Linked DNA regions of Oryzias latipes. The protein of the gene in region 2 interacts with the protein of the main gene of each other region in a biochemical or structural test. Links are inferred from orthologs where the notes say so. Each region holds a gene or a part of one and is shown on either strand. Other genes may lie near its edges. The genes, in order: histone PARylation factor 1 and parp2.

Evidence for each region.
Region 1: the proteins of parp2 (region 2) and histone PARylation factor 1 form a complex in vitro, tested with the Homo sapiens proteins (2 studies listed by BioGRID). The link is inferred for Oryzias latipes from reciprocal best matches to the Homo sapiens genes PARP2 and HPF1.

The regions. Positions count from the first base shown.
Region 1 is NC_019859.2:12,486,122-12,490,641, reverse strand, and holds the start of histone PARylation factor 1, read right to left. Parts: upstream 2,816-4,520; 5' UTR 2,750-2,815; coding exon 2,711-2,749; intron 1,989-2,710; coding exon 1,805-1,988; intron 1,257-1,804; coding exon 1,070-1,256; intron 770-1,069; coding exon 671-769; intron 565-670; coding exon 411-564; intron 89-410; coding exon 1-88. UniProt on the Homo sapiens protein: Cofactor for serine ADP-ribosylation that confers serine specificity on PARP1 and PARP2 and plays a key role in DNA damage response.
Region 2 is NC_019875.2:3,351,122-3,355,521, forward strand, and holds the start of parp2 (poly [ADP-ribose] polymerase 2), read left to right. Parts: upstream 1-1,379; 5' UTR 1,380-1,490; coding exon 1,491-1,563; intron 1,564-1,788; coding exon 1,789-1,998; intron 1,999-4,162; coding exon 4,163-4,297; intron 4,298-4,400. Other genes in the region: mettl17 (methyltransferase-like protein 17, mitochondrial), read right to left, coding at 887-955. UniProt on the Homo sapiens protein: Poly-ADP-ribosyltransferase that mediates poly-ADP-ribosylation of proteins and plays a key role in DNA repair.

The DNA.
Region 1 (4,520 bases), on a different chromosome or scaffold from region 2:
CGTCTGTTTCAGGTAGTTCTCTGTAGCCTACATCATTCTTGTCTACAGGCACAACGATGCCGGCACCATGGAACGTCTTTGTGACCACCTAAGGTTTGGGATCAGAAGTCCAGATTGTATTAAACTGGTAAGACAATAATAACAATGGATTTGATTTATCTGCACTTTTCCAGATGCACAAAGCGCTTACAATGTGTCCAACATCATTCATTCACTCCTCATTCATACTTGGTGATGGTAACTACTGATGGAGCGGGGATCAAACCGCCGACCCCTCAATCAATGGACGACCTGCTGAGCCACTGCTGCCCAACGAGGTTATGCCGTAAAAGTGAATGCCATTATTAGGCATCTAAATAGTCTTGGAATGCAACAACTGATACATTATTGTTCTGGGATGTTTGCATTACCCTCTTGTCCCTCTGTTTCATTGCTTTGGTTTTCTGCTCTAAAGACAAGTTGAGGGACTCGGCTTTGTCCTTTAGTTTGGTCTCCAAGCTTTCCCACGCTCCAGTCTCTCCTTTCTTACTGCCTCTCTCCTTCCTCTTCCTCTGCAGGTACAGACTAGTAAACAAAACAATATAGAGATCAACAGAATGGAAGAAAGATGACTTAATTAAACCCCATTACCGGGGAAAAAAAGTGTAAATGTATACAAGCAAACACTTACTAGACCGCAGCAAACAAGTTATCTCCCATCTGCAATATAGTGCAGTCCTTCTTAGCTTCATTTTCCCCAACAAATGAAGGAAAGGAGTCTGGGGTATCTCTGTTAGAATAAAAAAATAAATGTAGAAGCATTCCAAAGTGCCTCTTTATTTCATACAGCTGTTATTAACCCTTGTGCTATCTTAGATGACCCCACCCTTACTTTGACCATGACAAAGGTGGATAAAGGTGGAAAGATTTCATGTAATCCATGGACACCAGTGAAGATCACAAATCATTGAAGAAAAAAGGTTCAGAGCACTGTCGAGTGGGTCTAGATGACCCAACTCCCAACGTTACAGTGCCTAGGATAGCACAGGGGTTAAAGAGCTTTGGGATGGTAGTAAAAGGAACTCCGTACCTGTAGTAGCCCATGTGATGCTGGCTGTCCTCACTCCCCTGAAGTACAGTCTGAAACTCTGGTGGGTCATAGAAATGCCTCCAGTGAAGGTGGAAGTTCAGCTGCGGGTTCTTGGAGGTTCTGTGGGCTCCAGCCAGAATTTCAAAAGGGCCGACCAGCTGCAGGTCCAATGCCTCTTTCAGTGCGCCTATACAGGTTTAAAGTGATAAAATCAGCTGAAAAATTATAGCATTTTATTCAAAATTAATCTTAACCCAAATTGTTAATCCTATAAAATGTTAAATTGAATTGATATTAAACTATAAAATACTATACAAGCTCATCAAATCTATTTATTGTTTTTCTTTTGAAACAGTTTTTTGCATTTATTTTTCACGCATTTACAAAAAAACAAAAACATCAAACATCTTTTGTGTTCATTGTTAATAAAAGAAATAATAAAATGTATCAATGAAAGTTTCACTTTTGTTCAGTTCAAATAATCAGTTTAGCTAAATTTGTTTTACAATATAAATAAAATAAAAAAAAGAGTCCATTTTTTTAAAAATCAAACAGATAACTTTAATTTTAAAATTTGAATCAATTGTGTGGCTTGGCAGTGACACCCTTTCTGAAGAAATGAACACACATTTTTCAGTTTCACAAAACAGAAGTCACAGAAGTAAAAACCAATGAAATTGCAGCAGAAAGGTATATGCTGTGACCAAAAGAAGTAAATAAATCAATAAAGCATACCACAAGGATTTTCAGGACTAAGCTCCTTGCAGAATTCCCAAAAATGAAAAAGATCTTCTGGCATTTGAAAGCTGTACAGTCGAAACAACTCCTCACGCTGTTCTGGAGTCACATCGGACAGCGGTACGTCTTTGGATCCATCAGTTCTCATCTTCTTCACGTCTCCATTACAGGCGCTCACATCCTAGAGACAAAAACAGATACTTTGTTGTTGTTGCTTCAATTAAATATTAGATTTTGTACATATGTGAACAGCAGAAATAAATAAAGCTGTTCAAAATATATATGATTGCCAAATTTCCCTCTTTTGGTGGATGAATGAATGGTAATTATCTCGACTCAATGTTTTGTGTTTATTTATGCGTTCAAAGCAAAGTTTAAAATAAAAAAGTATCTTTTTTTGATCCAAAAGTGACGTAAATAATAGCATATATATTTATTTATGTACAGTGTACTTTGTTGTCGTTCGGGCTGAAAACTTTAAGGAGGAAACTTACAGAGTTGCTAGCTAAAATAAATCTCAGCAGAACTGTTTGCTTCCAAAAATCCATCTGGCAGCAATTGATTAAAAAAAGACTTGAACTCATTTTCGTAAAGCAAAAACATTGCAGGTTCATGGGTTTTTAGCAAATGCAATAAACACAAGCCCAGCAGATCTGGGACTACTTAAATCCATATAAAAGCCCATTGTGAAGTGTGGGGGTCATTAAACAAGTAGCTCTGCTTTGCAGCAGCAGCAGCTGCTGCCATATTGTCGTCCAACCACCGCTGGACACCAAACACAGCAGCCTTTTGCGTCTTCATCAAATTCAGTATGCTCCAATTGCAGAACTTATTCCACAGAAACACGTTTTGAAATAAACATCGACGCTTAGATGTCTAGTCTGTGAAGACTGGAGATATTACCTGTGCCGATTTGGGTTTTCTTTTTGCGCGCCCTGTCATTTTCCTCCTCTTGTCTCCTTGTCGTCTTCTTCTACACTTTTAACAGAATAAATGGTGGGTTGTATTAGAGGGCACTATCGCCACCTAGAGGTTAAAAAAATAACTGCAGCTTCCATTCCTGCTCCATTTCCATTCCGTATCAAAACCGTTTTTGCTTGAATACAACGTTATACACAGAAAAGACGTGCGCGGAAAGGTCTGGCATATTTATCTTATTGTAATTAATATACTTTTATTAATTATATACATTTTTGACCCCACTCATTACAGTGGTAAAACCAAACCATTGAAATATGTTTCTCTGTTAAATGTGTGAAAACATTTTTATGTCGGACAATAGCTTTGTATACTTTTTCAATTATATTAGGTATAAAACAATAATTTCCTGACTTGTTTACTCAATTCTTAATCTTTACAAATTATTCTTAATTACTAACAAATTTTATTAAAAGTGGACACAGGCCGGGCAGTGTGCACACTGGAGTATTTTAAATTGAAACCTTCTGGGATTAGATATAAGGCCTTTTACAAAATATGTATAATTAATCAGACACAGTTTTGGATTTAAGGCAAACATCCAAACAACAAAGTCTTTATTGCATTACATCACAAGAAAAAACAGACAAAAAAACCTCGTGTCAGAATCAGAACTCTGTTTTCCCTCTAGTCACCAGCCGGAACCGTCCCCCAGAGTTCTGAATGCACTAGATCTCCCAGCATTTTGATTTCTAAAAGTATTTTTATAGAAACCAGAACAGGTAGGTACTGACGGACATCCCTGATTGGATGATGATATTTTTCCATCATTTTAACACCAATTTATTTGACCTAAGCCATACTGGAAATTATCGTCCAAACCACAATGTCCCATAATAATCCATGTTTTCCCCCTTTACATATTACCGTAAATTAGAAATGGAGCAAACAGTAAACATTTCAATTCATTTTTTTTTATTTAACCTCTGAAACAGAAGGGTCACCCAGAAGCAGTTTGTGTGAATGACGTACGTGCTGAAGGTAAATAATTAAAGGAAAGAATGAAAGGATAAAATCAAAAAAATGATTTGGTTTTCTATAGTAGTTAATAAATTGATAATAAAATGAAAGTTAATTTTTTTCCTTTATGATTTTAAGTTTAAATTTACAACATTTGATTCATAGTACCTATACCATTTATGATTTCTAATTGGGATTCATTGTGTTTTCTGAAATGTTTGTCATTTTTTAACATTTCATTTTTCCTCTGGAAATTAATTTGTTTTACAAAACGTTTTTTTTTTTGCTTTTTTAGCATTTCCTTTTGTTTTCTGTAAATGACATTTTTTTTCTGAAATGTTTTTTCATTATTGTTTTTTATGTTTTGTCTTCTGAAATTTTGTCTTATTCTTTAAAATGTAATGTTGTTTTTTTTTTAGATTTTTTTGCTTTTTTTAGTTGTCTCTGATCTTTAAAACGTTTTTGTCGAGTGATTTGTTGATGTGATTTGCACTTCAGGGTCACCGTAGAATATATTTCCTACATTTCCTATATTTATTACAGTAATAGAAAAAAATTTGTTGTTTTACAACTGACTTGAAAACAGACCTTAGAAATAAAAGTTATAAACCACAAACAAATGCAATTATAACCACCATATACGTCTTTAAATATTTCCATATGTATTTTGATGGTTATAATTGCTTTGGTTGACAGACTATACAAGATCAGAAGTAAGACATAAACAGATTGTTACTTGTCAAATAAAACAACAAAATACAACAGATTAATTTCA
Region 2 (4,400 bases):
GACAAATACAAAGATATATATATATATATAGGACTAGTGAGCCACTATCCAGGATGAAACATCCAAGATCCATGAGTAAATCAAGCTCAAGGCCACAACTGACATTGTTCTCAGTGAATGTCTCAGGCAATGGAGAGCAGAGGATACAGTGCTGGAGGACAGATCCTCATGGGAGGACAAACTCCTGCATGGGATGTACCACCGGACCATAACTGAAGTGGCTGATATCAAGAAGTCCTACCAATGGCTAGAAAGGGCTGGCCTACAGGACAGCACTGAAGCACTCATCCTGGCAGCTCAGGGAGAAATCCTGAGCACCAAACCACAGAGGCAATGGCGAACCAACCAGACATTGTAGTGGTGGATAAAGAACAGAGGAAAGCCGTTGTGGTGGATGTGGCAGTGCCAAGCGATGGAAACATCAGGAAGAAGGAACATGAGAAACTGGAGAAATACCAGGGACTCAGAAGAACTGGAGAAAGCCTGGAAAGTGAAGGTGACAGTGGTGCCTGTGGTAATTGGAGCACTCGGGGCAGTAACCCCCAAGCTGGAGGAGTGGCTACAACAGATACCTGGAAAGACCTCAGACCTCTCAGTCCAGAAAAGCGCTGTGCTAGCAACAGCTAAGTTACTGCAGGAGCCTCTTATTCCAGCTCAAAGAGAAAGCTGTGAGATTGATTTACACAAACAGGATTTTTTTAAAGCGTACAAATACGCTTAGAAATCAAAAAAGTATTGGGAAAAAAGCACATTGGTAAAGATATAGCTGTTAGGCTTCAAACATCTAAGCACACAGATCAGGTATCGTTATATACATATACTATGTCTCATAGTAAATAGTATGACCTCCACAATTAGCTGCGTAATGATAAATCGATTTACGAACCCTCAACATTTTCTTTATTCTTGGTGTTTTCTGACCAAAAACAAATGCTCCGTATGTTCGCCATGCCATGTCTGAACAAAAAACAATAAAATCCAGATTCGGATTATAATGTACTCCCCCAAAAACCACGCTGGGAGTTTGCAGTCCTTCAGCAAAATAATTCCGGTTTTAGCTGAAGTGGAACTTGTTGTCTGTCATCTTTGGTTCCTTCGTGAGATAAAGAGGAGGGCTCACTCTTGTCATCTTTGGTGGTCCTACGCAACTGGAAAGAGCAGAATGTTTCTTTTAATAGCTTTTACTTAATTTCCACAAATTTAAAAGGTTTTAATAAAATACAGATAGCATACTAAATATATTTTTAATAATATAAAATGATTTTTCGTGTGTTTTGTTATGTTGTTATGGTTTAGATTAGAACGATGTCACTATTTAATTCTCATTTTGATAAACGAGTTAGCTTCTGTATGCCTAAACGATCTTTGGCCGCGGGACATCCTTAACACATGTCCGACTAGGAAACATCGCTCGAAAAAAGTTTCCCGCCCTGCTCCACAGTCTCATCATTGTTCCATTCTGTTCTTCTGTTTTCTATCTAGTTTACAACATGAGGCGAACTAGGGGTTCAATGAATAAAAACCAAAGTTTGCCAAAAAACGAAGACATGGAGTCAATAACAGGTTTGTGTTGATGTGAAACAAGTTAGTTGTTCAGATAAACTGAACATGTCTAGACTAGACTCTAGTCTTCGTGTTTTACGCTGTTTAAAATGCTTTGTTACGGTTCAAAAACCATACAGTGCCTTATTGAGACTTATGTGTGTGAGAAAAAGGCGTCAGACTTGGATGTCTGCGCGTGTGAAACAAGCGGCACCTGCGTGAACAGGTATTCTGTGTTGATGCTAGAATGGCAGTGGCAGGGGGACGGAGGCCGGTGGGAGTCATACCCGCCGGCGGCGTGTGCCCTGCTGGATTCGGCTCTGTCTGCGGGAACACCGGCCGTCACTCTGAACGCGGGTTCCGGCACCGCATACGAGGTGGATCTGAAGAACATGGTCCAGATCAATCCTGTCACAAAGTACCGAAGGAAAATTCGCAGTCAGACTGTGAAACCAGGTATGTTTTAAAGGTAGAAAACACACCTCCATCATCCAAGGTTTTGTATGTGAGAGATTCAGTCAGAAACAAAAGTTGTCTTTCTTTTTTCTTCTGTCTTAAACAAACTAAGTTTTAGGCAGAATTCAAAACGACTCTTAAAGAAACGAGTTCAGTAAAGTTAGCAAATAGTCAAAATCAACTAATTTACATCTGAGACAAAGGAAATTAGTTGTGGTGTCCCACAAGGATCAATTATGGGCCCTCTGCTATTCGATATTTACATAAATTATATATTTAATGTTTCAAAACTTTTAAAACCAATATTATTTGCTGAAGATACAAATACATGTTAGTTTACAGACAATCATAAGGAACTCCGTAATGTGGGAAATCCAGAACTAAGTAAAATAAAAGCATGGATGAATGGGGTGTAGTTTGTAAAGCTACAGTCAAATATTGACAGCAATATTTTTGGTTATTTAGCCTGTTTCAGGAGAAAAAAAACAGGTTTCTCTGAACTGATTGGTGGGAATTTCTTATTTTCGTAACTTTTTATTTTCTGTCGCTTCCTGCATTTTCTCCTGCATGTCTTGAATCAGTCAAGCTCAAGGACATGATGGACTACAAGTCTGGCGAGAATCAGTTCAGAGACAGAGCAAATCCAGCTTTTATTTTGGTAGTCCTTTAGTCCTTTGGTAGATTAACTATTTAGTTTGTAAAGAAAAAATACTTAACTTAAATGAAATATTTAGCTTGCAAACTAAATATTTTGTTAGTAAATGTAACATTTATAAATACGTGAATTAAAAGGTGAAAATATGCATTTGGAAAAGGACGTCTGTTTTTTTCCTCCTAAAACAAACTAAACAACCAAAAAATTGCTGTGAATATTTGACTTTGTCACTTTACAAACGGCATCCCGTATGGATGGATTACATTTGTGAATTTAGACAAAACAAAAGTAATGTTTTTGCTAATTATAATATTAAAGCAGAGCTGTCAATAAAAATAAACAATGTCTCAATCGTTACAGAAATTCCTATTGACAGCAAACTGAGCTGGAAGCAGCACATCAGCCATTCGGATGTAATTTATTTGCTGATGACACAACACTATTTCATGTAGGTAATAATATAGAAAGCAGTCCAAGCAGAGGAGAAAATACAGTGGTTTGATGTAAATAAATTATCACTAAGCTGCAAAAAAAAAAATCCTTCATGACAACAGACACAAACTTAAATATTGTACCGGTACTTGAAAAATTTATGGTATTAAAATTGATGGAGAGATGGAAATGAGGTTTCTGGATGTCATCAATGACGAGGGTGAAAATGCCATGTCAATAATCTCAAAACAAAACTTGTTAACTTGTTTCATCAAGTTAAGTCACCTCTGGATGATGAAGCACTGCATTTACTCCTCAATCCATATCTAAATTAGTGTATTGCAATTTGGGGAAACGCATTTAAACTTATGTACTTAAGTTAAACTTTAGTCCTACAAAAAAAAAAAAAGAAAAGCAATAAGAATAATCTCATACAGTATATGCAGAGATCCATCCAATCTATTATCCAGTAAGCCAAAAATATCAAGTCGTAGTTGATCAAAGTATTTTAAAGTTACAGCATAAAGCATATCAGAATTGTCTGCTACACAATATACAAAAAAAAGATTTTACAAAAAAAGGACTTATGGCTTAAAAGGATGTGAGATTTACTCTTTGCCTAAATTTAAAGCAGAAACAAAGGAAGGATGTGTTTCAATCAATCAAGGAGTCAAGATATAAAACAATCACTTAAAGAAACCAAATCACCTTCAAAAACACGTGTTAGAAAAGAACTGTTTAAAAAATACCATCAATGAACCGTGTTGCTTCATTCCAGGAAACCTTTAATTCCTTTAATTCTTTTATTCACTCTTCTTTTTGCTTTCTTCTAAGAATTTTTTAAAGGGGCAGAAAAGTATGTTTTCCTCTTTCTTTTCCTTTTATTTTCGAGGTAAAAAACTGTGTGAAATCTTTGTTTTTGTTGTTTTACAGAAAAGAAATCCATTTCCTCCCTTTGAAAATCATTAGAAACTCTCCAGTGTGACGTCGGTTAATCAGCCTGAAGTTATAACTGACATCATAGAAACACCCACAGGACAAATACTCAACACCCATGTTTGTCTTTCTCTTATAAAGACAGTTTAAATGAAGCTGAACCACAACCTGTCCAGGTTAAAGAGGAAGAGGAGGAGACAGAGGAGCAACCTGTGACGAAGAAAAGAAGAGGACGAAGCAAGAGTCAGGCAAAAAGCCAAGAAGGAAACAGTGAAGGTAGGCTTGTTGTTGTTGTGGCCATGTGTCACTAAAAAACAACCGTCTGCAGCTTTTGAAGTGAATGGATCTGTTCATAGAAAAGGTGTTTTCCTGAAAACAG